Linked DNA regions of Ovis aries. The protein of the gene in region 6 purifies or fractionates together with the protein of the main gene of each other region. This does not show direct contact. Links are inferred from orthologs where the notes say so. Each region holds a gene or a part of one and is shown on either strand. Other genes may lie near its edges.

Region 1 (4,100 bases), on a different chromosome or scaffold from region 6:
AAAATTTTAGTTCAATAGTTCTAAAACAGGCTACTTTACAGTATATGTTTATTCTCATTGAGTGTGTTAACATATGTAGAACTGCATATTTTTCAAATTATTTTAGTATTTTTAACATATAAGAGAAACTGGAAACCAAATTAGATTTACTTCCAGTTTATGAAAGAACAAGATATTTTTCCAAAGCAAAATATTTCAAGGTAATTAAGAAATTAGGCCAATGGGATGTTTTAACATATTCATTTGAGATTAAGTAATTATAATTTAATTATTCACACTCAAACCAGCCAAATTAAAAGACTCTCCCACCCAATTAATTTCCCTGCTTTCAGCTTTATTTTGAAAGGCTCAATTTACAGTTTATTATATTCTCAGAACTGTTTCCCATAACAAGAAAAGGGAATCATTTCTCAGCAAACATTACAATCAAGTTGAGAAAACAGGCAGTTTAAAACCCTTTCCTTCTACTTCAAACTAACTTTATTGAAAAATAATTCACAAATAACTGTTTATTTTTCAGATAATCGCCTGTTACTGATTTTCATTCCAGAGATGCAAGCACTGACATTAGATACAGATTGCATTACAGAAACTGAGACTCAAAAAAGTGAAAGAGAAAGATGTCACACCAAAACCAACATCTTTTTGTTTCCCTGATAGTCAACTACAGAATTCAGAAGGTAAGCAAGGGCCTTTAGGAAATGCCCAAAATATAGAGGATACAGGTTAACTAAAGGCAAGCTTTCAACCGGCTTCACATTTATTAATAGTCCAAATCACTGACAATGACTTAGCTTTACATAACACCCAGTAATTCAAGAACAAAAAATGTTTAACTAACCATTTTCAATAGATATCTTCAGAAGTCTGTATTTTCCATTTCTTGCTCTGGCAAAGATATCTTTAACGTCTTCACTTGCTGTGCAAAAAGATACAGAAAAGTAATATTTATGCATTAATACTTTCTAATGCTACAATAACAATGCAATTGAATAAGGAAAACATGAAATATAATACAAAGAAAAAATCTTGAGTATGCAATATTTTCTTATTAAAAGTCATTTAAATTATAAAACTTAAAAGGTATACCAGACACTGAAAACGGCTTTTGCTGTTGTTGTTGTTCAGTTGCTAAGTCATGCATGTTCAACTCTTCTGTGATTCCCTGTACCGTAGCCCGCCAGGCACCATACCAGAGCGGGTTGCCATTCCCTTCTCCAGGGAATCTTTCCCAACCAGGGATCAAACCTGCATCTCCGGCACTGGCAGGTCGGTTCTTTACCACTGAGCCACCAGGGAAGCCCCATACACAGCTAAGAGACATAAGTATGTTTTAAAAGTATATTAATTCTAACCTGTCCTAGCTACATTAGAATTGGGAATGAATATATTAAAGTTTCTCAAACCCAATAATGAACAAATTACACATCTGAGAAATACCTTTACTGATTTTGAAAATGCTGAGAATCTGCTTTCATTCTCTTCTGGTCTAATTTCAAGTTTACGATAAATAAAAACACTCTCTTCATCAATTCATTTTATACATTTTCATATTTAAAGATGACAATAAACGTCAAATGCCCTATCCTGACTGAAGTCAATAAAATTCCTTCAAGTTTATACTTCTGGTCACACTTTTCTGACTAGTATTTCTCAAAAAGCTGGAGTAATCTCACTGAGCAAATGTATACTTAATAACCTACCCCTTGCGCTATGAAAACTTCAATTTCGTTCTGATTTTGTTCTTGGGGTGTATATTGACAGCAAGAACCACTTTTAATAGTGCTTGTTATTAGACTCAAGCATCAAAGTCAATAATTAGATATCCATGCATCAAAACTAACGCAAACAAAAGAGTGCTTTCAGATTCGAGACTATTTTGCTTTTCTTTGTGTGTGCAGGAGGAGGTATGGGGTGGTGTCAAAGACTTATGAACAAAACACAATTAGATGTTCATCTGGGGAAAAGATTCGTTGTCTATTAACAGGAAGATCTTGTGTTTATACTAGAACTCGTTAAGTGATCGCGAGTAACCCCGGGACATATTATTTGATTCTGATGAGGTGAGAGCTTTCAGACTGCCCATTCGCAAACCAGGAAATAACACAGGTCAATTAAAATTGCACATTCAACTGCCTGAATGGGATAATTATACGATGCCACACAGATCAGACTTTTCAGTTCCCCGTGGAGTACCTAAGAACGACCAAGACGCCTCCTACTTAGGATACATACAACGGTGCTGATGTTCCCATTTTGGAAGAAAGCGCGGAAGAGTTTGGGAAGCATTCTTAGTAGAAATGGAAAAGATTCCGCATCTTTCTTTTTATAATTCAAATAATATAACAACTCTTCTGGACCGTGAAAAAGAAAATTCGCCTGTCTCTTGACAATAAAAGGACCCCGATCGCCTTCACGTCTCCAAGTCTTCCCAACCGGTTAAAGTTGGGTTAAGGTCGGCTGCGGCTGCAGGCACGCCCCCTTCACCCCGGCCGCCGCCGGACCCACTTCCTTCGCTCCGGCGAATTTCGGGTCCGTCCGCAACGTGGCGGCGGCCGGGCCCGGGAAGGGAGGGAGGCAGGCCGAGAGCGCCCGGGACACGGGAGCGCAGAGAGACTCAGAGGCCCGGCTCGCCCCGACACACATTCCCAGTGCTTCGGGCCCGACTCCGGCCCCGCCCGGCCTGCCCGGGGCCTCCGGGGAGCCCCTTCCCCAAGGGCAGCGCCGGCGCCGTTACCTTGGATGCCGGTCTGGTGGGACATGGCGGCAGCCGCGAGCTCCCGGCTCCAGCGCTGAGTGCAGCGAGCGGCCCCGGCGGCTCCAGGAAGTGGCCGCTCCTCCGCCGGCCCCGGCGCGTCATCGGCCTGCGACCCACCGCCGCCCCGCCCCGCTAGGCCCCCGGCGTCCTCGCGCGCCCCCAGCGCTCCCGCCGCCTCTGGTCACCCGGACTGTCTCCCAGCTGCGGGACTGCCTCCCAGCTGCGGGACTGCAGGTCCACACCTTCGGCCCTCAACTCCAGCTACTCCAGCTTTCTGCCTAGGGTCACTGTCCCCGGTGTTTGCCGCCGCTTCTCCGGCTCCACCACCGTGAAGCACCACAGGGCTGGCAAGATAGCTTTCCCTTCTGGGGTCTGCCCTGCCAACGCCTTTCACTGGTTCAGCAAAAGGATGCTCAAAAACGGAAACGAACATTTTACTGAACACAAGTTTTCAGCTTTAAAAAGATGTGCAAGATATCCTTCTTGGTTTACTCTTCTGCTGTGTGTACAATTTAATGTAAAGGGTCCCGCTCCTCCCGATTTTTTAAAAAGGATAGGCAGTTTCCCATCAAAATTTGAAAGGCTTTTAAATTAATTTCAGACTTAAACCTTTTCTTTCTTTAGTTGGGCCCATTTAGAGACAAGGTTTTCCTTTCTCCTCATTCCAAAAAGAAACAGCCACTGAAAGTAAAATTAGCTGATTTGAGTACTCCTCTGTGGTCAGTTCCATCATTCCAAACTAACGCTGCTCTGCTTTCTATTGGTCCTTTAGTCTTAAATCAGGTAATTATTCAAGATTCATTTGTGAGGATAAAGTTGTAGCATATTATTAAAAACTATTTTCCATTCTGTGCTTTTATGAGCATGTGTTTCCATTTCTAAGGATAATTTATTTATTGTCTAAATTTCTGGCTGCACTGGGTCTTTGTTGCTGCCCATGGGCTTTCTCTAACTGTGTGTGTGTGTTGGGGGGGACCCTACGAGTAGCTTAGTTGGGGTGCACAGCCTTCTCATTGTGGTGGCTTCTCTTGCTGCGAAGCACAGGCTTTAAGGCGCATGGGCTTCAGTAGTTGCAGCATGCGTGCTCTAGGGTGCTCAGGCTCCAGTAGTTGTGGCTCGTGGGCTCTAGAGTGTGAGCTCAGTAGATGTGCTGTGCAGGCTATAGTTGCCCACAGTATGCAGAACCTTCCTGGACAGGGATCGAACCCCTTTCACCAGCATTGGCAGGCAGGTTCTTCTCCATTGAACCACCAGGGAAATCCCTCTAAGGATAATCTTGGTAGTTATTTTTGTACTACTTTTCTAGAACTCCTGGATTATAATTTTCTAGGTAGAAAGCTTG
Region 2 (4,015 bases), on a different chromosome or scaffold from region 6:
CTACTCAAGCAGCTCCTCAACTCAAGACCTGCCGTGGCTCCTGGCATCCAGAGGGTCAGGACCCTGCACTCAAAGCCTCTTTAGCCACTCTGCCCACTAGCTCCCAAACACAGAGGCACCCCCCAGGGGGCTGAGCTTTTGCAGGCGCACCTCCCTTGCCTGGACTTGCCTCCCTTGCCAACCCCTCAGCAGAGCGCTAGACTCGGGGGAAGCCCTCTGAGGCTCCCGGGGCCTCAGGCAACAGCCAGCACAAGTCTGGATCTCCCAGGGCCCCCAGGTTTGATTCACCTCCACTCTCCAGGGCAGAAGCTCGACAATGAAAACCCACAAGGAGCCCAGAGAATGCTGGAAAGGACACATCTCCAGGACTGCCCGACACCAAGCCTCGTCCTGAGGCACAGCGTCAGGACGCCACAGTGTGGAAGAGCCAAAAATTACAGCCTCGGGGCTCATCAGGGTGGGACTTGGCGACTGTCTCTTTCAAGGGTTCCAATCCTGAAATTGGGGCAAAACTCTCCCCTACTTCAAAACCTCCAGTGCCTCCCCAGGGGTCTAGATAAAACTCCAAACCCTAACCAAGGCCCCCAGGAGGCGCCGCCTGGTCTCCAGGCCCCTCTCCCTGCGCCGTGCTCTTTCTCCCAGCTCCTTCCTCTCCCTCACACTGTCCCCCGCTCACACTGTCCCTTCCATCTTCGGTCTGAGCGTTCTCGGGGAGGCCTCCTTCATCTGTCCAGACAAGAGCCCGTCACACCCTCGCAGTCCCCTCTGCTCTCCTAACGCTGGCCCCTCCTTCGCAGCTGAAGAAGGGAGGAGTTTGTGGCTCAGCATAAAGAATCTGCTGGCCTATGCAGGAGACCTGGGTTCAATCCCTGGTGTGGGAAGATCCCCTGGAGAAGGGAATGGATATCCACTCCAGTATTCTGGCCTGAAGAATTCCATGGACAGAGGAGCCTGGCAGGCTACAGGCCTTGGTAGCAAAGAGTTGGACACAACTTAGCAACTAAACAACAATAATAATAACTTATATAAGACCCAAGACGGTAAGACCCACGAGGGCTAGGAAAACCTCATTCTTTGCTGATTCTCCGACCCCCAGTCCAGGGCCTAAATAAATATCTGTCCCGTGAAGGCACACGCTCATGCACATGTGAATGGGTGAATGAACCTCTGTTTCACCAGAGAGGAAGCAGTCAGACTCCTGTGAGCATTTGAGGGAAAAAAAAACAGGGCCCCAGTTAAGGAGGCTGGAGAAGTAGGAGATTAAAGTGAACGGTGCAGCCTGCCAGAAGCGAAAACGAGAGCGAGCTTCGAGGAGGAGGAGGAGGCACCCGGGGCTCCAGCGAGCTGGGGCATGGAGAGCTGAGGAAACACCAGGAGGCGTGGACACGGAAGGGTCACTGGGGAGTGGGCAAAAGGCGGGGCCCAGCACAGGGACGGCGGGACGGTGAAGATGCAGAGGGCCCTCAGCTGACGCGCTCAGCGGCTGCGCCCTTCTGCGGAAGTGGGAAAGCAGAAGATGGTTCCTGTGTCACTTGCCAAAGCATGCAGAGAGTACAACCCTTTATGGGGACACAGCGCTCAGGCCATGGGGCTTTGGGAGCTGTCAAGGCTCTGAGTCTCAGACTCGAGAGCATTAGAGCCAAGGCGGGCCCCGCCGGTCCATCTGGGCAGCTGGGGGAGGCCCCTTCGTCTCGTGCCCTTGGGAGGCGGCTGGTCCCCCTCTATGGGAGTCCCAGCATCGGAAGGCTCTTGCATCTGAGCTTGGGGAAAGAGGAACAGCACCAACTGTGGTCAGCTTGTCATGTCACCGCCTGGAAGCCAGCCGGGCTGCAGGATGAGTAAGCCCTGGAGGTACTCGGCCCCTTCTCCTTTCGGCGGTCAAGGGTGATGTCATGACCCAGGGGAGTGTTTCCCAGGCTTTCCACACAGTTACTATCCGAAACTCGCGTCTCTCTGTTTCAGCACTGGAAGCTGGGTTATCCCCCTAGTGATGATCCTTCCCCTTTCTCCAGCTCACAAAGCCCTTTGGCATCTGTGAGCTTATGCAGTCTGCACCACAGCCTTGTAGGTGGGTGGAGGAGACCAATGCACCCATTTCACAGGCAGAGAAACTGAGGCCCGAGCGGGGACCTGAGCCAGGTCTCCTGCTCTGGCCAGAGGACTCTGCACTCCGTGCCCTGCCTCTCCACCTCCTGCGGCGGCGAATCTGATAGTCAGGTGGGCCCCGCCCTGCCAGCCATCCCAGGTGAGTGTGACTCATGCGCCTTCCCTGTGACTCACCCTTCTCACTCCTCCTCCGGTCAGCAAGCCCGGAGCCTTGGCAGCCACACCCCAGCCTTTCTCACCCTTCCAAAGAATCCTGCACCTCCTCCTCACAGGAGTCCACCCTCCCACCGAGGCGCTACAAGCACTTTCCTACCGTCACCCAGCGCAGGAGCAGCACAGCCAAGGGGGGGCCCCAGGAGTCCTGGCACCCAGACGGCTTCGTGCCTCTTCCCCAAGGGATCACGCTTGCCTGGCCTCCCTCTCTAGGTGAGGAGCAGGTGAGGCAAGGGCAGAGTGCTCTCTGAGCTTTACGAGAAGAGCCCCAGGGACTGACTTTGCATCCACGTGTGGCGCCCGGAGGCTGCTTCCCCAGGCCCATCCAGAGCCCCCGGCAGCCAGGCTGGGTTTAGGAGGGCCCAGCGGTGGCTGCACTGCTCTACCTACCTCGTGGGGCTGTGAGTGAAGAGGGCGGCTCCCTCGGAAGGGCTCGGCACCACTGTGGAAGCGCGGCTCGGGGGGTTCCCAGTACCACCTGTAAAGAGAGGGTCAAGACTCCCAGGCTCAGGGGCTCAAGGTCATCTGGTCAGAGCCCATTTCATGCTCCAGCTCCTCCCCAGCCCCCTCACCCCCCATCCAGGGCACATGCCCCTGCCTGCGCACCTCCAGCACTTCCTGCCAAGGCTGCAAACCTTCTATTCAAGAGTCCAGCTGGTTAAAAGAACCCTCACTGGGACGTGCTGGAATTCTCTGCCCGTGCCCCGTTACGCACCGGCCCTAACTCTGCCCTCTGGGCTCACCCGGAGCAGGTCTGGCACCCCGTTTCCCAGGGGCTCCTCGGAGACTTGAAGACGGAAACCCCAGGCCCTCGCGTCTTCTACCCCTTTGCTCCAGCTCTTCCTGAGATCAAGGTGTCTGGTTCCCTCCCCTGGCTTCCCTGATCTACTTCAAATGAACCCTGTCCCTACTGACAGCGCAAGACCCAGAACTGAACACTTGGATGAGCTCTCTTCAGGGCAGGGCAAGCAGAACTCTCACCTCCATCATTCTAGATACCATGCCTCTATTAATACAGCCGAAAATCCCATGAGCATTTAAGGTAACCCCACTGTATGACTGAATTCAGCTTATGGTCAGGTTCAGAGCTGTGGCTTAAGATCGTGAGGTTAGACAAAAGGGCCCTTCATTTAACTAACATGTAACAATCAAGTTACGTCACCTTTCTGAGCCTCAGTTCACTTCTCCGTAAGACAGGAATTATAAGGTAGGTATTAGAACCTACCTAACCTACCCCATGAGGTCATCGAGAGAGTGAGTGAATAAGTAAAGTCGCTCAATCGGGTCCGAACTCTTATGAAGATCAAATGAGATAAAATACGACAAGGATTTTGAATAATGTCTGTCTGTCACCTTACTCTATCGCTTAACTCTTAAGTCTGTTTCTGTAAAGTGTTATCTTTCTCATGCTGTACTTACGCAAGCTGCTTACATGCCATATTCCCACCTCTATGCCTCGCGTTGCTCCACTCTTGCAAGACTGTATTGCCATTATACGCTGACGAGTCTTTCTCGCCCATGAGACCATGGGCTCCATTAAGTTGCTTTGCCTCTGAAGCCTCAGGCCTGGCAAGTGACCCGGCCAACAGGAGGACCCGTGGGTGTAAGCTGGGTGACCAAACGCAGGGCCAGCCCGCGCGCACCCAGAGCAGTCTGTGCAGCCCCAGTCTTTCAGCGCTCACACTTTCAGAGACAC
Region 3 (4,022 bases), on a different chromosome or scaffold from region 6:
TGCTGAGCATTGAAAAATCGAAGAAGGGACTGGTGTTAAGGCCCATCTGGGGTGGCAGGAAGATTGCCTTTCTCTGCTAACCAGCACCAGAGTCTGTCACCAGTGACAGGAGGGAAGGGCAGTAAGGAATCTGGTATAAAACACACGAGAAATTAGAGACTTGTGATCATGATTAGAAAATCAAATATTATTTTGCAATACCAAACTTTATAACAGAATCAACAGTATTAAATTTGCACTCCAAATCAGAAAAGAAACAAAACAGTGTAGGAGAAAGCTTTAGAAATGGAAGCAGACAGGAACCAAAGAGAAATAGATCTTTTTTTATACGTTTGCCTAAAACCAGTGGTGTTTGCTTTTAAACTTACTCACATCTTGTCCTTCGCTCACAATAGAAAAATCTTTCTTTCCTTCCAGAGATTGGAGAAGATTGCAGTAAAGGGCAAAATGTATGTGTGTCCTCTGGGATTAGACAGTGGAGACGATTGTAGTAGAGGGCAAAAGGTATGTGTGTCCTTTCGGGTTAGATCCTCCATTCAAAAATGACGGGACCTTAAAAATTATATGGCCTTCGCAACAAGTTTGTGCCTTAATTTCCTCCTCTGTAAAATAGGTATAACAATGGTGCTTTTTACGTGGGACTGAAGACTAAATGAGGCAATATGGAAAAAGGTTTTAGCAAAATGAGTATCATATATCAAGTGCTCAGTTAATCTTAGCTACTATTCTCATTCTGACAATAGCATTCAAGAAGCAGAAAGGAGCTACCAGTGTGCTATGCTACGCCTGCAAGTGGCTGTTGGTGACTCCTGGCTGCTCTGCCACGTTTCTCTCACACACACACATGTATAGGCTGCGCCGGGTATTCGTTGCTACCTGTGGCTTCCTCTAGTTGCAGGGAGTAGGGGCTACTCTTTGTCTTGCTGTGGAGTAAGGACTCTAGAGGGTGCAGGCTCAGTAGCTGCAAGACACCGGCTTCTCTAACTGCCTGAAGCAGGCTTAGTTGCCCCGTGGCTTGTGGGATCTTAGTTCCCCAATCAGGGATCGAACTTCGTCCCCTGCATCGGAAGGCCAATTCTTAACTATTAGACCACCGGGGAAGTCCCTTGTCCGTATTAAATTGTGTGCAGAGATAATGATGTAGTCTGGCAGTCCCACTGAGGTCTGTGTTATTAATGTGTCAAGGTCAGTGACAGGGCAGGACACAGTGCCCGGAAATCTCACTGGGCATTTTGCTTTCGTTACCTGCTAGGTACTCTTGCCTGGAAACTCCCATGGTCGGGGGGGAGCCTGCTGGGCTGCAGTCCATGGGGTTGCACAGAGTCAGACATGACTGAGCGACTTCACTTTCACTTTTCACTTTCATGCATTGGAGAAAGAAATGGCGACCCACTCCAGTGTTCTTGCCTGGAGAATCCCAGGGACGGGGAAGGGCTGCCGTCTATGGGATCGCACAGAGTCGAACACGACTGAAGCGACTTAGCAGCAGCAGCAGCAGCAGCAGCAGGTAAGTTTGTCAGAATTCTAATGCTGAGTTTTGCTTCTTTATGGCAGAGTTTCATTTTGATATGCTTGTGCTTTATTAGCTGACTTTAGAACGGTTTGGTTAATCTTCCTTCTCTCTGGTGGGAGGAAAATATATATATGGTGTGTGTGTGTGAGAGTTTAAGTGGCTTCAGGCTTACTTCCCATATTGGGAAACTTGCCCTCAGTACCAAGAGAGTCTATGAAACAGTCCTTCAGCATTTGTGCAGCAAGCAGAAAAGAGGTGGATTCCCTTCCCAGCTGACTCATTGATCATGGTTTCTGCTGAATGGATTCAACTCAACAAATTTGGAATCACTGGTCAGAGACCAAGGTGAAAGTCCTGGGTGTTCTTTCCTGGGACTTTTATCAAGGAAAATTCAGCCCCTTAGATAGAATAGCAGGTTGGTTTTGAACCAGTCATCAGCGACAGTAATTATCATCCCTGTTTTACTAAACTGAGGGGTCATGAGGTTAAGTAACTTCCCACACACACGTTACTCACACAGCAAGTCAAAGGCAGAGCCTGAGATCAAACTTTGGCAGTCTGGCACCTGAGTCTGTGCCTTTATTTCCCTCTTCCACCTGTCTGCAAGTTAGGAGGTGCCTTTTTATTTTGACCAACTTTTTCGATAGAACTTTCAAATATGCAGATTTAAAAGTCTCTTTTGTTGAATCAAAATGACTTACAATAATTGATTTTAATGCTAAGGTGATTTGTACTCGTAAAAATTTTTTGATTTATTATTAGTTCCTTCAAAATTATTATAGAATTATAATATATTTTATTTCGTGACTGAACAATGAGACAGATGGTAGGAGGCACCCTTTTCCGCCCCTTATCTTCCCGTTGTGCTCCTAGTCATCCCTAAAAACCCAGGCGTCCACTACTTCCTCTGCTACTCCTGCAACAATACAGGCACTCATAACTGCACTCATCACTCTGCGTTGCGATTATTTGAGTATCTTTTATGACCCCTGCTCAGCAGGACAGGATCGATATTTTTCTTCATGTGAGCACTTGTGTAATAAAGTCAACAAAGAACAAATGTTCACTGAACTGTATTTGAGGAAAACATTTCAATAGCTTTCTTTTATGTGAAGTGCCTTTTTTGGCTGATCAGGAAATTTTAATATGAGGGAAATTTCTGGAATTACATGAACACTAATTTTCTTATAAAATTTCTCTTGTTTGAAACACCGAGTGTGAAAAAATGTAGAGTAACTTACCTGCGTTTATTCTAAAGAACTGTAGTCTTTGCATCATGGCATATTTGTAACCCATTCTTCGAACACTAATAACCTTGTGGCTATTCATGCTTATTTACTGTTCACTCTAAAATCTTTTTGACTCAAAGTTTTTAAGAGTTACATGGGATCAACTCGAAATCAACAAATGTATCCTTGCTTTTTTATTTTGCTTTCTACACACTGTCATCCCTCATTATAATTCTATGAAGTGAATGTCACTGTACACAGTATAAAATGTTTTGCATATATGTAAACACCAGAACCTAGGAGTGCTGTGTCGTAGCACAATTATACAAGTAGAAGCAAATACATTTATGCAACATAATGTAAACAGTTCACTGTTTTTTTGCAAGAATAAAAGCAAAATAATTATGTTGAATAGTCTTTAATTAAAATTAGTTGAAAACAAGTATAGCTCTATTATATTATGTTGTAACTCACCTAGCAGTCAATTTCTTCAGCTTTTCAAATCCACCAATGTATGTAATTTTAGCTGTTAAAAGTGTTACTTATTTAGCTTGAATTAAAGCAAAACTTAAGCTTATGCTATCTATTGACTGGTTTCTTAAGTAACTGTATTTTAAATTAAAGTTTGAAGTTTATTTATGCCATTCTCAAATGATTAGATGTGATTTCATATGTTTAAATTATAAACATATTGGTGTTTACAATATTCTTTATTATAAGCAGTATGGATCCTGGATCTCAGATTTCCTAGGAGGCTTCTAGGAACTTGTGGTAAATACTTACTAGAGGATATGAGCTTTCATTTTCTATTTTAATCTTTATTCTTTTAGAAAGAGATATTATTTAATTCTCCTATATTTACATTTTCATATGATATTGCAGAAGAGACAGTGAATTTATGGAACCTAACTTCCAAATTCCAAAAGACATTTTATATTGTGAATCTTTGCCTATAATGAAAGTCTATTGAACCAGCTGAAGCAGTCACAGGATACCGAAAGAACAATTTCCTCTCTTATACTACATTTATAACTAGTTTTGAAGATTTCAAAGAGACAATCTAGAACCAAACTATTTTTGCAAATAGTCTTGAAGAAATTTTTCTCTCATGTGCATGCTTTCATGTGTAAAAGGAAACCATAACTTTTGTGAAATCATCTTGCTTTTCAAATGTATGTTTGTGTTTAAGTGTGTGGCTTGCCCAGTTTAAAAACCACAAGGGGAAAATTATTTAATGGCGTGCAACCACACAGACTTCACAGACTGAGATTTTCTTGTTT
Region 4 (3,500 bases), about 33 Mb from region 6:
GTGTCTTGGGGGCCAGGGGATACTCTGAATTTTTCTGAGTCTCCATCTTCCTCCTGAAATGGCTCAAGCCAAGTGGTGCTAGTGGTAAAGAATCCACCTGCCGATGCAGGAGACTAAGAGACATACGTTTGATCCCTGGGTCAGGAAGATCCCCTGGAGGAGGGCATGGCAACCAACTCCCATTCTCCTGCCTGGAGAATCCCATGGACAGAGGAGCCTGCTGGGCTACAGTCCATAAAGTTGCAAAGAGTCGGACAGGACTAAAGCGACTTAGCACAGGAGGGCTAATAGAAGGCGATTTTCTCTGGGGGTTTCCTATTGATTATTATTACCAGTTCCATCACCCGTGAACTTTTCTCCCCGACTTCACCTTCCCCCAGGCCATCATCAACAGCACTGTCACTCCCAACATGACCTTTACCAAAACCTCCCAGAAGTTTGGACAGTGGGCAGACAGTCGCGCCAACACTGTCTATGGTCTTGGCTTTGCTTCTGAACAGCATCTGACTCAGGTGGGCCTGCGGGGGTACATGGTGGGAGGAGCAGGGCTGGGGTTGGGTCTTCTCTTGTGTGCACTGCGGGACCCTGGACAGATGCTGGGCCTCCATCTTCCCAGCTACAGGATGGGCATACAGAGTTGGACCAGCCTATAGCCCCTTCCCACTCCCCTGGTCCACATCCCAGCTCAGCTGGCCACCTGTTTTGATTTTGAACACACCCTGCTCCTCTCTGGGTGCCTTTAATGGGCTGAGTGCTTCCCCACACCCCTGGCAGTACCTTCATCACCACCTCCTTCCACCCTCTGCTGTTTCTAGAATTCGGCATTGTCTTATGAATTGTTTCCCTGTATGGTTCATGCTCTCTGCGATGCTTTTCTTCTCTTTTCTTCTAGAAGCATTAGTTTCCCTTTCAAATTTTAGATCTTGAATTAATTTCTGCAGGCGGTATAAAGTAGGAGTATTTTTTTCACATATGAGTATTCAGTTGCTCTTGGGACTTTTTTTTTTTTTTTGCCACACCATGTGGCATATGGGATCTTTGTTCCCCACCTGAGGATTGCACCCCCTGCACTGGAGGTGTGGCGTATTAACCACTGGGCCACCAGAGAAATCCTGGAACGGTTTTTGAAAACACTACCTACCCCCAATACCCCCAGTGAATTGCACTGGCCGCTTTGCACAACCCAAAGGGGGTGTATAGCTATAAATATTTTAAAAATTACTTTCAAGCTAAGGAAATTTATTTTAAAATTTAAAAAGGTGGGGGGCTTCCTTGGTGGCTCAGTGGTGAAGACTCTACCTGCCAGCGCAGGAGAAACGGGTTCCATCCCTGGACTGGGAAGATGTTAGACGCTGCAGAGCAAGGAAGCCCGTGCGCCACAACTATGGGTCCCGTGCTCTAGAGCCCGGGAGCTGCACCTGCTGAGCCCACGTGCCCCGGAGCCTGTGCCCTGCAACAGGAGAAGCTGCAATGGGAAGCCTGTGCACCGCCACCAGAGAGGAGCCCTTGCTCGCTGCAACCAGAGAAAAGTCTAAGCAGCGATGAAGACCCAGTACAACCCCAAATAAATACATAAACAAAAACTTTTTTAAAAGGGCTCCCTGGTGGCCTCGTGGTTAGGATTCCAGGCTTTCACTGCCATGGTCCAGGTTCAGTGCCTGGTCAGGGAACTGAGATCCCACAGTCCACTTGGTGCAGCCAAAAATAAATAAATAAAATGGAAAAAAAAAAAGTATATCCTACTCTAGCTGGAAAACAGGTATGGGAGATTAATGTAAACTATGACAAAAATGAGAACAGGGGGATTACTTTCCCACTGGCTGCAGGTGCCTGTCAGAGGCTCCAAGTCCAAGACCTGCTTTCTCTTTGTCACAAAGGATATTCACAAGCGTCCCAGGCACGAAAGACAGATTAGCACCCACCTGAGGCTCTCCTTACTGAGATAAGCTGATTGAGGGGAAAAGGGGATCTCTTTCTCAAGGTGGCCTCCGTGAACACCCCACCCCTGCCCTCTAGCCGGATACCCACTCTGCTCCTTGGGCATCATTTTCCAAGCCTTCTTCCCTCTCTTGCAAAGTGACAAAGCTAGTGCTGGGTGGGAGTCATGTGGTGGGGCCCTGGTGGAGGGGGCTGGGAGTTTGTTGACTGTCTGTTCCTATTCCTCATCCCTCAGTTTGCTGAGAAGTTCCAGGAAGTGAAGGAGGCAGCAAGGCTGGCACGGGAGAAATCCCAGGATGGGGGAGAACTCACCAGTCCCGCGCTGGGGCTCACTGCCCACCAGGTCAGCACTCCTTGTCCCAGAACTCAACTGCCCTGGAGGGGAAGGGTCTAAACGCTATGCCGGTGCTCAGGACCAGACACTCACTGATGATGTAAAACTAGAGCCGTGACCGTGGAAAAGGGTCGTGGGTGCCGTGGGTGCCGTGGGGGCATGTCATAGGCCTGCCTGAAAGGAAGGCCAGAAAGCCAGCTCACGTGGCAGCGTGGAAATGTGAAAGGTGAAGTGGCCAAGTAGTGGTGCGTGCTTGCATACTGTCGCTTCAGTCGTGTCCAACTCTTTGTGACCCTATGAACTGTAGTCCTCCCGCTTCTCTGTTCATGGGATTCTTCAGGCAAGAATACCAGAGTGGTTTGCCATGCCCTCCTCCAGGGGATCTTCCCAGCCCAGGGATATTGAACCTGCGTCTCTTATGTCTCCTGCATTGGCAGGCGGGTTCTTTACCACTGAGCCACCTGGGAAGCCCTAAGTAGCGGGGTGGGGTAAAAAACTGTCCCTGAGCGTTTCCCCCCACTAACCTATTCAACATCATTGATTGACCACCTACCGTGTGCCAGGCCCAGGACTGGGCACAGGGCTTAAGAAGATAAAAGAAGTAGGCTGGTCCCCGCCCTCAGGACTGTGGTCCAGGCATCAGGTGGATTCATAATGAATTTAGCCTAATAGAGTAGGTTTCTCATAGGAATTTTAAATAGCTGTTGAAATTTGGCCCCAGGAAAGGTCATTGCGGTGAGGGAATAGCACCGAGGCTTCAGATTGCTCCCCGATTTGCAGATTATGAGTATCTGTCTCCCTGGGTTTAGGCTAGCCTGCATTAGATTTGTTGCTGGTGGGTTGGTGAGAGCCCAGCAGGCAAGGAGGCGGGACAGGGCGCCAAACTACAGCCCAGGGGCCATGTGGGGGCCGTGGATGGTGGGGGAGGAGGGGAGAGGGACGATTGGATCCCAGTGCTGGGAAGGACCTCCTGCGCCCTCTCAGTCATGACCCCTGACATCAGCCCTGACCCCAACCATGACCTAACTGGCCCTTAACTGAAGCCACGCCCTACTGTGACTTCACTTCTATCCATGCCCTTAGGTGCCTCCGAGCCCCCTCGTCAGCGCCAATGGCCCCGGCGATGAGAAGCTATTCCGCAGCCAGAGCGCGGATGCCCCGGGCCCCGCTGAACGCGAGCGGCTCAAAAAGATGCTGTCCGAAGGGTGAGGAGGGTAGCACAGGGTGC
Region 5 (3,500 bases), on a different chromosome or scaffold from region 6:
TCCTTTATTTTCTTCTGTACGTTTTAGAGATTTACTTCTTATACTCCACTTCATAATCCTCCTGGAGTTCATGTTTGTGTGCGGTGTGAAATGAGATCAAGCTTTCACTCTCGTATATCAATATTCCATTGTCCCAGCACCACTCCTTGCGAAGTCCGTCCTCTCGCCTCTGGCTTGGGGCTCCACCCGGATCATAAATGTCCATGTGTCCACATGGGTCTGTCTCTGGGTGCCTCTCTTGCTCCGCAAGTCTTGTCCTTTCCTGTGCCAACATCGCATTGTCTGAATTGCTCCACTGCATTGTTCCAAGCTGGCAGTTTGGCCCCAGAGAGAAATAAAGGCGCCCAAAGCACAATTACCCTTTCCTCTGTTAGGCCTACACGTTTCTTTCCCATCCAGTCTTCATTTTATCCTCGCAGGAACCCACTGGGTAGAACGACTGTCCACACTCTACCGTGAGGACACCGAGCTTCAGACAGTTTAGTGAATTCCCCTAGTTCTTGCAAGTTGGCAGAGGCATTATCCAAGTAGGGCCCAGACTCCTGGCCCAATCCCTCACCATCCTCCTCCTACCCTCCCCTCAGTAGCCCCCGAGAGGCCCAGCCTTCCATGTCCCTGAGCTCGACTGCCACTTCCTTCTGATGTCCTGTGTTGAGAGGAAATGACGCCCCATCTCTGTGAGCCATCTCCCTGTTGTCGGTCACTCTAGGTGTGATCAAACCTACACAGTACAAGCCTGTGCCTGATGAAGAACCAAATGCCACCGACGTGGAAGAAACACTGGAGAGAATAAAGAACAATGACCCGAAACTTGAAGAGGTCAACCTCAACAACATCCGGGTGAGGCCCCCTTCACTCTACTTCCCCCGTTGTGGGAATGTGGGGAAAGCCGAGTCCACTCAGAACCAGACAGCCCAGACCAGACTGCACACAGACAGCAGTGTCCTGCTTAAACTCTGGGTGCTTCTGGATCAGGAATAGAGGCAAAACTTTGGGGAAGGAGGACAGTATAAACCAGCACAGCCCATCATCTCGGTTTCCTTTGGGGCCTGACATCAGACCCAGGTGTTCACCACAGCCAACCCAGCTTCAACTCTGGAAACCCACCACCTTATCCACAACACTGAGAGTTTCTCAGAGATAAATCATGAGTCAGACACATATGGCTGCAGGGATCTCAAGGCTGGAAAAGCCTGGTGCCCACCAGGTTCATGGGGTAACCCAAGCCTGGGGAGGGGCCTAACCCTGAACCTGCATCTCATGCACGTATTCAGCCTCATTCTGCAACCCTAGATGGGAACCATTGGCCCAGCGTCCAAAGTCATGCTCTAGGCTGTTGGCCCACATCTCTTTGGACCCTTCCTGTGTGACCACCAGGCAGAGCGGGGACGGCTGGGCAGGCTGTGGGAGGAATGCAGAAGCAGGCCCAGCTGCCTGCTCACCTGCTCAGCCCGGGAGCCAGAGAGATTAGTTCTCAAAGGGGGTGGATGTAAGCTAAGAAGTGGGCCCCTCACTTCCCCGCTCTCTTTTCCTTTCTTCTCCGCTTTCTTTTAAGTGGCTGCCAGCCTCCTGGCATAATCAGATTGGAAACCTGCAACTGCCGTGTCTCCTCCACCTGGCCTCCCTGCGCTTTGCTCCCATGGGGGCTAAAGTGACGCTCTGAAATGCGAGATCCATTCGGGTGCCTCCACTATCTGCCATGTGCGCTGTGGGAGACACTGGCACAATTCAGAACTGTGCACCCTGGCCACGTCTATGGGCTCAGAGAAGTGTGGGATGGGGGGACCTGGCCACGGCCCTGTGCCTTCACCGTGGGGCCTCAGGCAAGGGCTCGCCCGTTTCTCCTCTGCATGTGAGGCAGTTGGACTAGGTCAGTGGTATTCACTTGAGATTAACAAAGTAATAAATGCCAGTGCCCAGTCCCTCTCCCCACAGAGATTCTGATTTTATTGGTCCAGGGCAGGCCTGAGCATCAGCATTTTATGAAAGTTCCCTAGCACCTCCAATGTGTACTAGGGCTGAGACCCTTTGGGACAGATGTCTCTTAAAGATTGTCTAGGGCAATGCCCCACCTTCGTTTACGGAAACAAACTCAGAGAGGGGCAGAGACTCCCCCAGAGTCACACAGCAAGTCAGCAACATTGCCTATTGCACACACCCACAGGCCTGAGCTCTCGGCACAACACTCTCCTGCACCTTTGCCTTGATGTTTTCCTGCTCCTTCGGTCTCTACAAAGAGAAAACTACAGGTGCTATCTGAAATGTTCAGGGAAGACTTTCTCAATCTGTTTATCAGAAAGTTCTCTCCAAATCTCAGCCATCTAGGGCAAAGCAGGAACCCTTTGCCCATTCAGCTCTTTGGTCAGGGACATGCTGGGCGTCAGGTTGCATCAGTTGTGAGAGAATTACTGCACCATCTCTTTGCCTTGCCTGCCCCTGGCAGGACTGCTGGTCACTACTTGGCTTTCTCTCTGCAGAATATCCCCATACCCACTCTCAAGGCATATGCAGAAGCCCTCAAAGAGAACTCGTATGTGAAGAAGTTCAGCATCGTGGGAACACGGAGCAATGACCCTGTGGCATTTGTATGTACCTTTCTGTTCTGTTGCATTGAGAGTGGGAGGCATAGAAACAGGAAAGTTGACATTTGTGGCCTCAGGACTGGCCATGTGCCACTGATGAAGGACCCTTGTGGTGAGCTGTGATGTGGTGAAAGACACAGGGCTAGGAGCCAGGAGGGAGTGTGGACAGAACAGCCATTAGCCAGGCACCATCTGTACATTATCCTAGTTAATCTCCACAATCATCCCAGATCCCAGAAATGCAGGGCTCCCCACTTTACAGGTGAAGAACCCAGGGTAGAGGGAGCTCAGACAACTTGCTTTATCCAAAGTTTCACAGCAAGTGAGAAGTGGAGTTGAGGTTTAAATGCAAGTCACATGGACCTTAAAGTTGGATCTCTGTCTCCACTCAGGGTGTAGACAAGGGCCTGCCTCTCCCTGGTCCTCAGTTTCTCCATATCTAAAACTATTGTCTTCATTGGTGGTTTCCAGTGTTCAATTTTATTTGATCTTTCCTGTGTCTTAAAAATAATTCAGATTAGATTCAGTTCAGTTCATTTCAGTTGCTCACTCATGTCTGACTCTTTGTGATGCCTTGGACTGCAGCACATAAGGCTTCTCTGTTCATCACCAACTCCCAGAGCCTGCTCAAACTCATGTCCATCAAGTCGGTGATGCCATCCAACCATCTCATCCTCTGTCGTCCCCTTCTCTTCATGCCTTCAATCTTTCCCAGCATCAGGGTCTTTTCCATTCAGTCAATTCTTCATATCAGATGGCCAATATATTGGAGTTTCAACTTCAGCATCAGTCTTTCCAATAAATATTCAGGACTGATTTCTTTAGGGTTGACTGGTTTGATCTCCTTGCTGTCCAAGGGACTCTCAAGAGTCTTCTCCAACACCACAGTTCAAAAGCATCAATTCTTCTGCACTCAGC
Region 6 (4,282 bases):
AGGTCACCATGGCCACTCTTGCCTGGACTCTGGCCTTTGGGCGGTGGCGCTTTCTTGGCCTTCCAGACCTAGGCTGCCTCTGCCCTAGCTGAGGTTCTCGTCTCCGGGGACTGCTGGCCTTTCCTTCCCTCTCAGCTCCGGCAGAGAGCTGACCCAGCGGCCTTCCTCCTCCCTAGCTTTTTCTCCACAGGTAGGAGTGGCTCAACATCCATTTTACACAAGAGAAGAGAGAAATGTCTCCTTCCCGGGACCCACTTGGAGGAAGACCAGCTTGGGGCCAGGAAGAAAGGCCGGAGGGGCAAGGAGGCTCAGCCCCTCCTTCAAGCTCCCTTTCCCTGACCGCCAAGGCAGGGTGCTGGGAGGAGACCAGCGAGATGCAGAAGAGAAAGCGAGCTAGGAGAGGAGGCAGAAACGGAAGACAAGGGAAGGGAGGGACGCGAAGGGATGGAGAGAAAATGAAGGCGCGGGGAGGGGAAAGGGGTGGGAAGGAAAGAGGGAGGAGGGAAGAGGGCGAGAGGGAGAAGAGGGCGGGAGAGAGGGAGGTGGGAGGAGGCCGGAAGGCCTGGTCCAGGCCCAGCCCCATGAGGTCAGCACAAGTCACTGCCAAATGGGCCCCAGCCCCTCCCTGCTTCTCAGGATCCCTTCCCTCCTAAAAGGGACACAGGTGGGCTGTGGGGCCAGAAACTCCCCGTCCAACTGTTGCCTGGGCCCCAACCCTGGCAGCTGCCTTCTCCACACAGCTGTCCCACCACCTGTCTGGCTGCCCTAAGCTGCCACTGCGAACAAAAGGCCCTCAGAGACGAAGGATCTGCCCCTTTGCATCCTGCAGCTGGGAAACTGAGGCAGGACTCCACGACTCTGGTTCCCAGACACTGCACTAGCCATCAAGTCACACTTCCCCGGCGTGACCTGTCAGACTCTCCCAGGCTCTCTGTGGCTCTTCCCAAGAACAAGTGTCCTCCCCTTCCATTCTTTACTCCTTGTCTACCCACCTTCAGTCACCTTTCTGTGCTGCAGCCCTGGCCCTTACCTGGTGAAAACCATAGCTAAGTTCAAAGATTTCAGCAGGCCTTCATCCCTGAGCTCCACCCGACCTGCCTTTCCAGCCAGACCTCCATATCCAAACCATACACTTGGATCACACTGGATGGGTCCCTGATGTCCAGCACAGTTCTGGGCATTTCCCACCCTAGGGCCTTTGCATATGAGTCTCCCTTCACAGGAAGGCCAAATCTGCTTCTCCATCCCATGTCCACCCCTGACTGAAATCCCTCAGGGACCCAATGCCAGCTCCCCAGGAAGCCTTGCCCTGCACCTCCCTCCCCAGGGTGCTTACCACACCCCAGCAAGGATGGGAAGAGGCATCTGAAGCTGCCTGGGATCTCACTAGACCTGTGCTTTGGGTGGGTTGGAGCTGGTGAAACCGAAAGGGGGTGGGAGGGAGGGAGGCAGGAATCTCCACCTCCAACCCCTGGAGATAGACACTGTTCCAAACCGTAAGCTTCGTGAAGGTGGGACATTTAACTCAGACTTTCAAGACAGCACAGAGCAGCTCTAGTTGGTATTTGCCATCTAAAAACCATCTCAGCCAGAGAAAGTGGACCGGGGTGAGTGGAAGATGGAATGTAGCAGATCCAGGAAGATTCTGGGTTGAGCTGAGGATGGGGGCTGCAGGGTAGGTGGATTCCTCAGGACAATTACACTCTCAGGATATCAGAACTGGAAGGGCCTTGAGCATCCCGGGTATGGCAGAGCCCAACTCCCTCTCCTGCTTGTCAACAGGAGCAGGGACTCGTGTGGTCATACAGTGAGTCAGGTCACGTCCAGGGTAACACCAGTTCTCACTACATAATCTGCCTTTCCATGGTCCCCTGCTCCCAGCCTCAGGCAGCAGTCTACTCCAGAGTAAGCCACCTGGGTGTGACCTCCCCGACCCTTACTCCCTACTCAGAGGAGGGCAGTGCCAAGCCCCCTTTTGCCCAGATGGTGATTTTATCCAGCACACCCTCCTCCAGCCTCAGTGCAGGGTCTGCTCCTGAGTCTGGAGACCCCACTGTACTCTGGCTCTGTGCTGGGTGCTAGGGGCCCTCATGTCCCTGAAGACTCTCACATTCTTTCTACCAAATGTTTATCTGGGCCCTTGGGAGTGAGCAAATGTGTGTATGTGCGAGGGTGCGTGTGTACATCTGTGAGTGTACCACACACAACCCAGATCGGGGCGGGGGGTGGGGGGTGACGCACGCCAGTGATGAATAATAACTCGCTTGAGCCACATGGATGCTGCTGGGTGGTGGGAGCCCAGGCCTCCGCTGAGCAGGATGCGGGCCAGCAGTGGTTGTGGGAGCTCCGCTTTTTGGAAGGTGGGGGGAAATGGGGTGGAGATAGGCAGCACCCCCAGACTGAAGAGCATTCTGAGGTGGGTTGCGCCTCTCTCCAGGCACGGCCCATATCCCATGGCCGGCTCCTCCACCAGGCCAAGCCAGCCACTTGCCCTCAACTCCTCCCATGATCTCAGCCCCCCTGGGACAGGGCTGGGACAGAGGGTGGGCTGCTTGCCTGCTTAGCCCATCTTGGCCTCTCCTGTGACTGACCCGCAAGACACGAGCGCTTGCTTGTCTCCCTCGTCCATGCCTCCAGGCCTGGCTGCCCGCCAGTGCTGCAGTACTGTGGCATGGATGCCTGGCCATCTTGTCCCCTCCTCCAGCCCCCAGGTCAGTGTCTTCCCAGCATGAGGGTGAGGCCAGCCCAAGTGTGGTCCCTCAGATCTTCCTTCACTTTGTGTTTCCTGCTTGCCAAGGGGAGAAAAGGCCTAGGGAAGAGAATGGGCACTTGCCCCAGGAGAAGAGTATTCCAGGGAGATGACGGTTCCTGAATGGGGCAGCATGGACCCCCTTGGCTTTTCTGCCACTCTGGGGACTCCGGCCCCAGAGCAGGTGGTCCGTCCCCACCCACCACCTAGGGGGAGACAACAGCTGGGGAGGGGAGAGAGGGCAGCCCAGCTCCTCCCCATCCCCGCAGTAGCTGAGAGCCCCTTGCCACTGGGCCACCAGGCCAGGGGCTCCGTGGATCTCCTCACCCCCTCATTCTTCTCAGAAAACTCCCTCCACTCTCTCCACAATGGTCCGCCTGGGGGCTCCCTCCCAGGGACCCCACTTGGCACTCTGGACAAGCAGTTCAGTTCCTTTGGCACGTCCCAGCCTGGGTGCCTAGTCCCTGCACCCAGGGACTAGGGGAGAAGACTCAGCCCTGCCTCCTCGACCCCCAAGGGGCACAGGAGGCACTTGGCGGCGGTGGCCGTGTGGCAGTGAACGTCTTTCCATCACACCCCAACTCGGAGAGGCCCCCCGGTGGGCGGGGCGCCCCGGCCCCAGCCCGCTCCGCTCCGCTCCTCCCCCGCCCTAGCTTTTCCTTTGTGCGGTGGCCGGCTGGGCTGGGCCGGGTAGACAGCTCTGGATCTGCCGGTTCGGTCCCCGCCCGCTCGAAGGTGTCGAAGGTGCCCTTGGCCTCCCGGTGCACACCTGTCCCACCCCGGGGCCCAAGGCGAAGAGGAGGGGGTGGAGGAGCAGTTCTGCAAGGCCAGGAAGCCCCAGGCCACACATCTGGACCCGGCGTCTCTCCAGCCTGCGTCCAGCCACCAGCGTTCCCACCGCGCGGCTGGGGCCGCCTCCGGGTGCTTGGGGACCGCGGGTGCCCCGCCTGGCCCGGCCCGGCCCCTCCCCCGGCGCGCACAAAGGCAGCTCCTCCCTGGCCCTCGCGGGCCGCTGCAGCATTTCGGGGTCTCCTCCTCCCTCCTGGCTACGGGGCGGCGGGGCCGGGTGGAAACAAAGGCGCGGCGGCGGCGGCGCGGGGACAAAGGGGCTGAGGGGCGGGGGCGGGGGGCTCACCAGTCGGCCGCGCTCTCCTCCCGAATCACCTCTTCGTACGCCGCCAGCAGCTCCAGGCGGTGGCCACTGAAGCTCACGCCGGCCATGCTGCGGGCCGGACCGAGGCCGAACGGACAGACGCACGGACGGACGGACGGAGAAGGAGGGAGGGAAAGACGGAGTCGCCGCGCCGCCGCCTCGGAGCCTCTGCAGCGTTGCAAGCCGAGCGAGCCAGCGGCCGGGGGAGGGGAGCCGGCCGGCGGGGGGCGGGGGGCGCTGGCTCCGCCCGGCTAGCTCCCTCCGCGCGCTCGGTCCTAGCGCCGCCCCGGCCCGGCCCTGGGGGAGGCCCGCCCCCCCTTCCCGGCCTGCCCCGGGGCGCCCTCACGCCCCTCGCCCCCAGCCCATGCGCGCCGCGCCCA

Evidence for each region.
Region 1: the proteins of DBN1 (region 6) and TWF1 purify together in Homo sapiens (affinity purification with mass spectrometry; 3 studies listed by BioGRID and IntAct, with this or other methods). This does not show direct contact. The link is inferred for Ovis aries from reciprocal best matches to the Homo sapiens genes DBN1 and TWF1.
Region 2: the proteins of DBN1 (region 6) and GSN purify together in Homo sapiens (co-immunoprecipitation; 3 studies listed by BioGRID and IntAct, counting the BioPlex papers as one, with this or other methods). This does not show direct contact. The link is inferred for Ovis aries from reciprocal best matches to the Homo sapiens genes DBN1 and GSN.
Region 3: the proteins of DBN1 (region 6) and HOMER1 purify together in Homo sapiens (co-immunoprecipitation; 3 studies listed by BioGRID and IntAct, counting the BioPlex papers as one, with this or other methods). This does not show direct contact. The link is inferred for Ovis aries from reciprocal best matches to the Homo sapiens genes DBN1 and HOMER1.
Region 4: the proteins of DBN1 (region 6) and HOMER3 purify together in Homo sapiens (co-immunoprecipitation; 3 studies listed by BioGRID and IntAct, counting the BioPlex papers as one, with this or other methods). This does not show direct contact. The link is inferred for Ovis aries from reciprocal best matches to the Homo sapiens genes DBN1 and HOMER3.
Region 5: the proteins of DBN1 (region 6) and TMOD1 purify together in Homo sapiens (co-immunoprecipitation; 3 studies listed by BioGRID and IntAct, with this or other methods). This does not show direct contact. The link is inferred for Ovis aries from reciprocal best matches to the Homo sapiens genes DBN1 and TMOD1.

The regions. Positions count from the first base shown.
Region 1 is NC_056056.1:142,936,627-142,940,726, reverse strand, and holds the start of TWF1 (twinfilin-1), read right to left. Parts: upstream 2,801-4,100; 5' UTR 2,763-2,800; coding exon 2,738-2,762; intron 920-2,737; coding exon 842-919; intron 1-841. UniProt on the Homo sapiens protein: Actin-binding protein involved in motile and morphological processes. Inhibits actin polymerization, likely by sequestering G-actin. By capping the barbed ends of filaments, it also regulates motility.
Region 2 is NC_056055.1:2,266,941-2,270,955, forward strand, and holds the start of GSN (gelsolin), read right to left. Parts: upstream 2,801-4,015; 5' UTR 2,798-2,800; coding exon of another isoform or gene 2,710-2,797; intron 1-2,709. UniProt on the Homo sapiens protein: Calcium-regulated, actin-modulating protein that binds to the plus (or barbed) ends of actin monomers or filaments, preventing monomer exchange (end-blocking or capping).
Region 3 is NC_056060.1:10,527,957-10,531,978, reverse strand, and holds the start of HOMER1 (homer protein homolog 1), read left to right. Parts: upstream 1-1,222; 5' UTR 1,223-1,364; coding exon 1,365-1,507; intron 1,508-4,022. UniProt on the Homo sapiens protein: Postsynaptic density scaffolding protein. Binds and cross-links cytoplasmic regions of GRM1, GRM5, ITPR1, DNM3, RYR1, RYR2, SHANK1 and SHANK3.
Region 4 is NC_056058.1:4,095,686-4,099,185, forward strand, and holds part of HOMER3 (homer protein homolog 3), read left to right. Parts: intron 1-380; coding exon 381-512; intron 513-2,173; coding exon 2,174-2,281; intron 2,282-3,355; coding exon 3,356-3,477; intron 3,478-3,500. UniProt on the Homo sapiens protein: Postsynaptic density scaffolding protein. Binds and cross-links cytoplasmic regions of GRM1, GRM5, ITPR1, DNM3, RYR1, RYR2, SHANK1 and SHANK3.
Region 5 is NC_056055.1:50,079,208-50,082,707, reverse strand, and holds part of TMOD1 (tropomodulin-1), read left to right. Parts: intron 1-709; coding exon 710-840; intron 841-2,477; coding exon 2,478-2,585; intron 2,586-3,500. UniProt on the Homo sapiens protein: Blocks the elongation and depolymerization of the actin filaments at the pointed end. The Tmod/TM complex contributes to the formation of the short actin protofilament, which in turn defines the geometry of the membrane skeleton.
Region 6 is NC_056058.1:36,671,321-36,675,602, forward strand, and holds the start of DBN1 (drebrin), read right to left. Parts: upstream 2,801-4,282; 5' UTR 2,688-2,800; coding exon 2,596-2,687; intron 1-2,595. UniProt on the Homo sapiens protein: Actin cytoskeleton-organizing protein that plays a role in the formation of cell projections. Required for actin polymerization at immunological synapses (IS) and for the recruitment of the chemokine receptor CXCR4 to IS.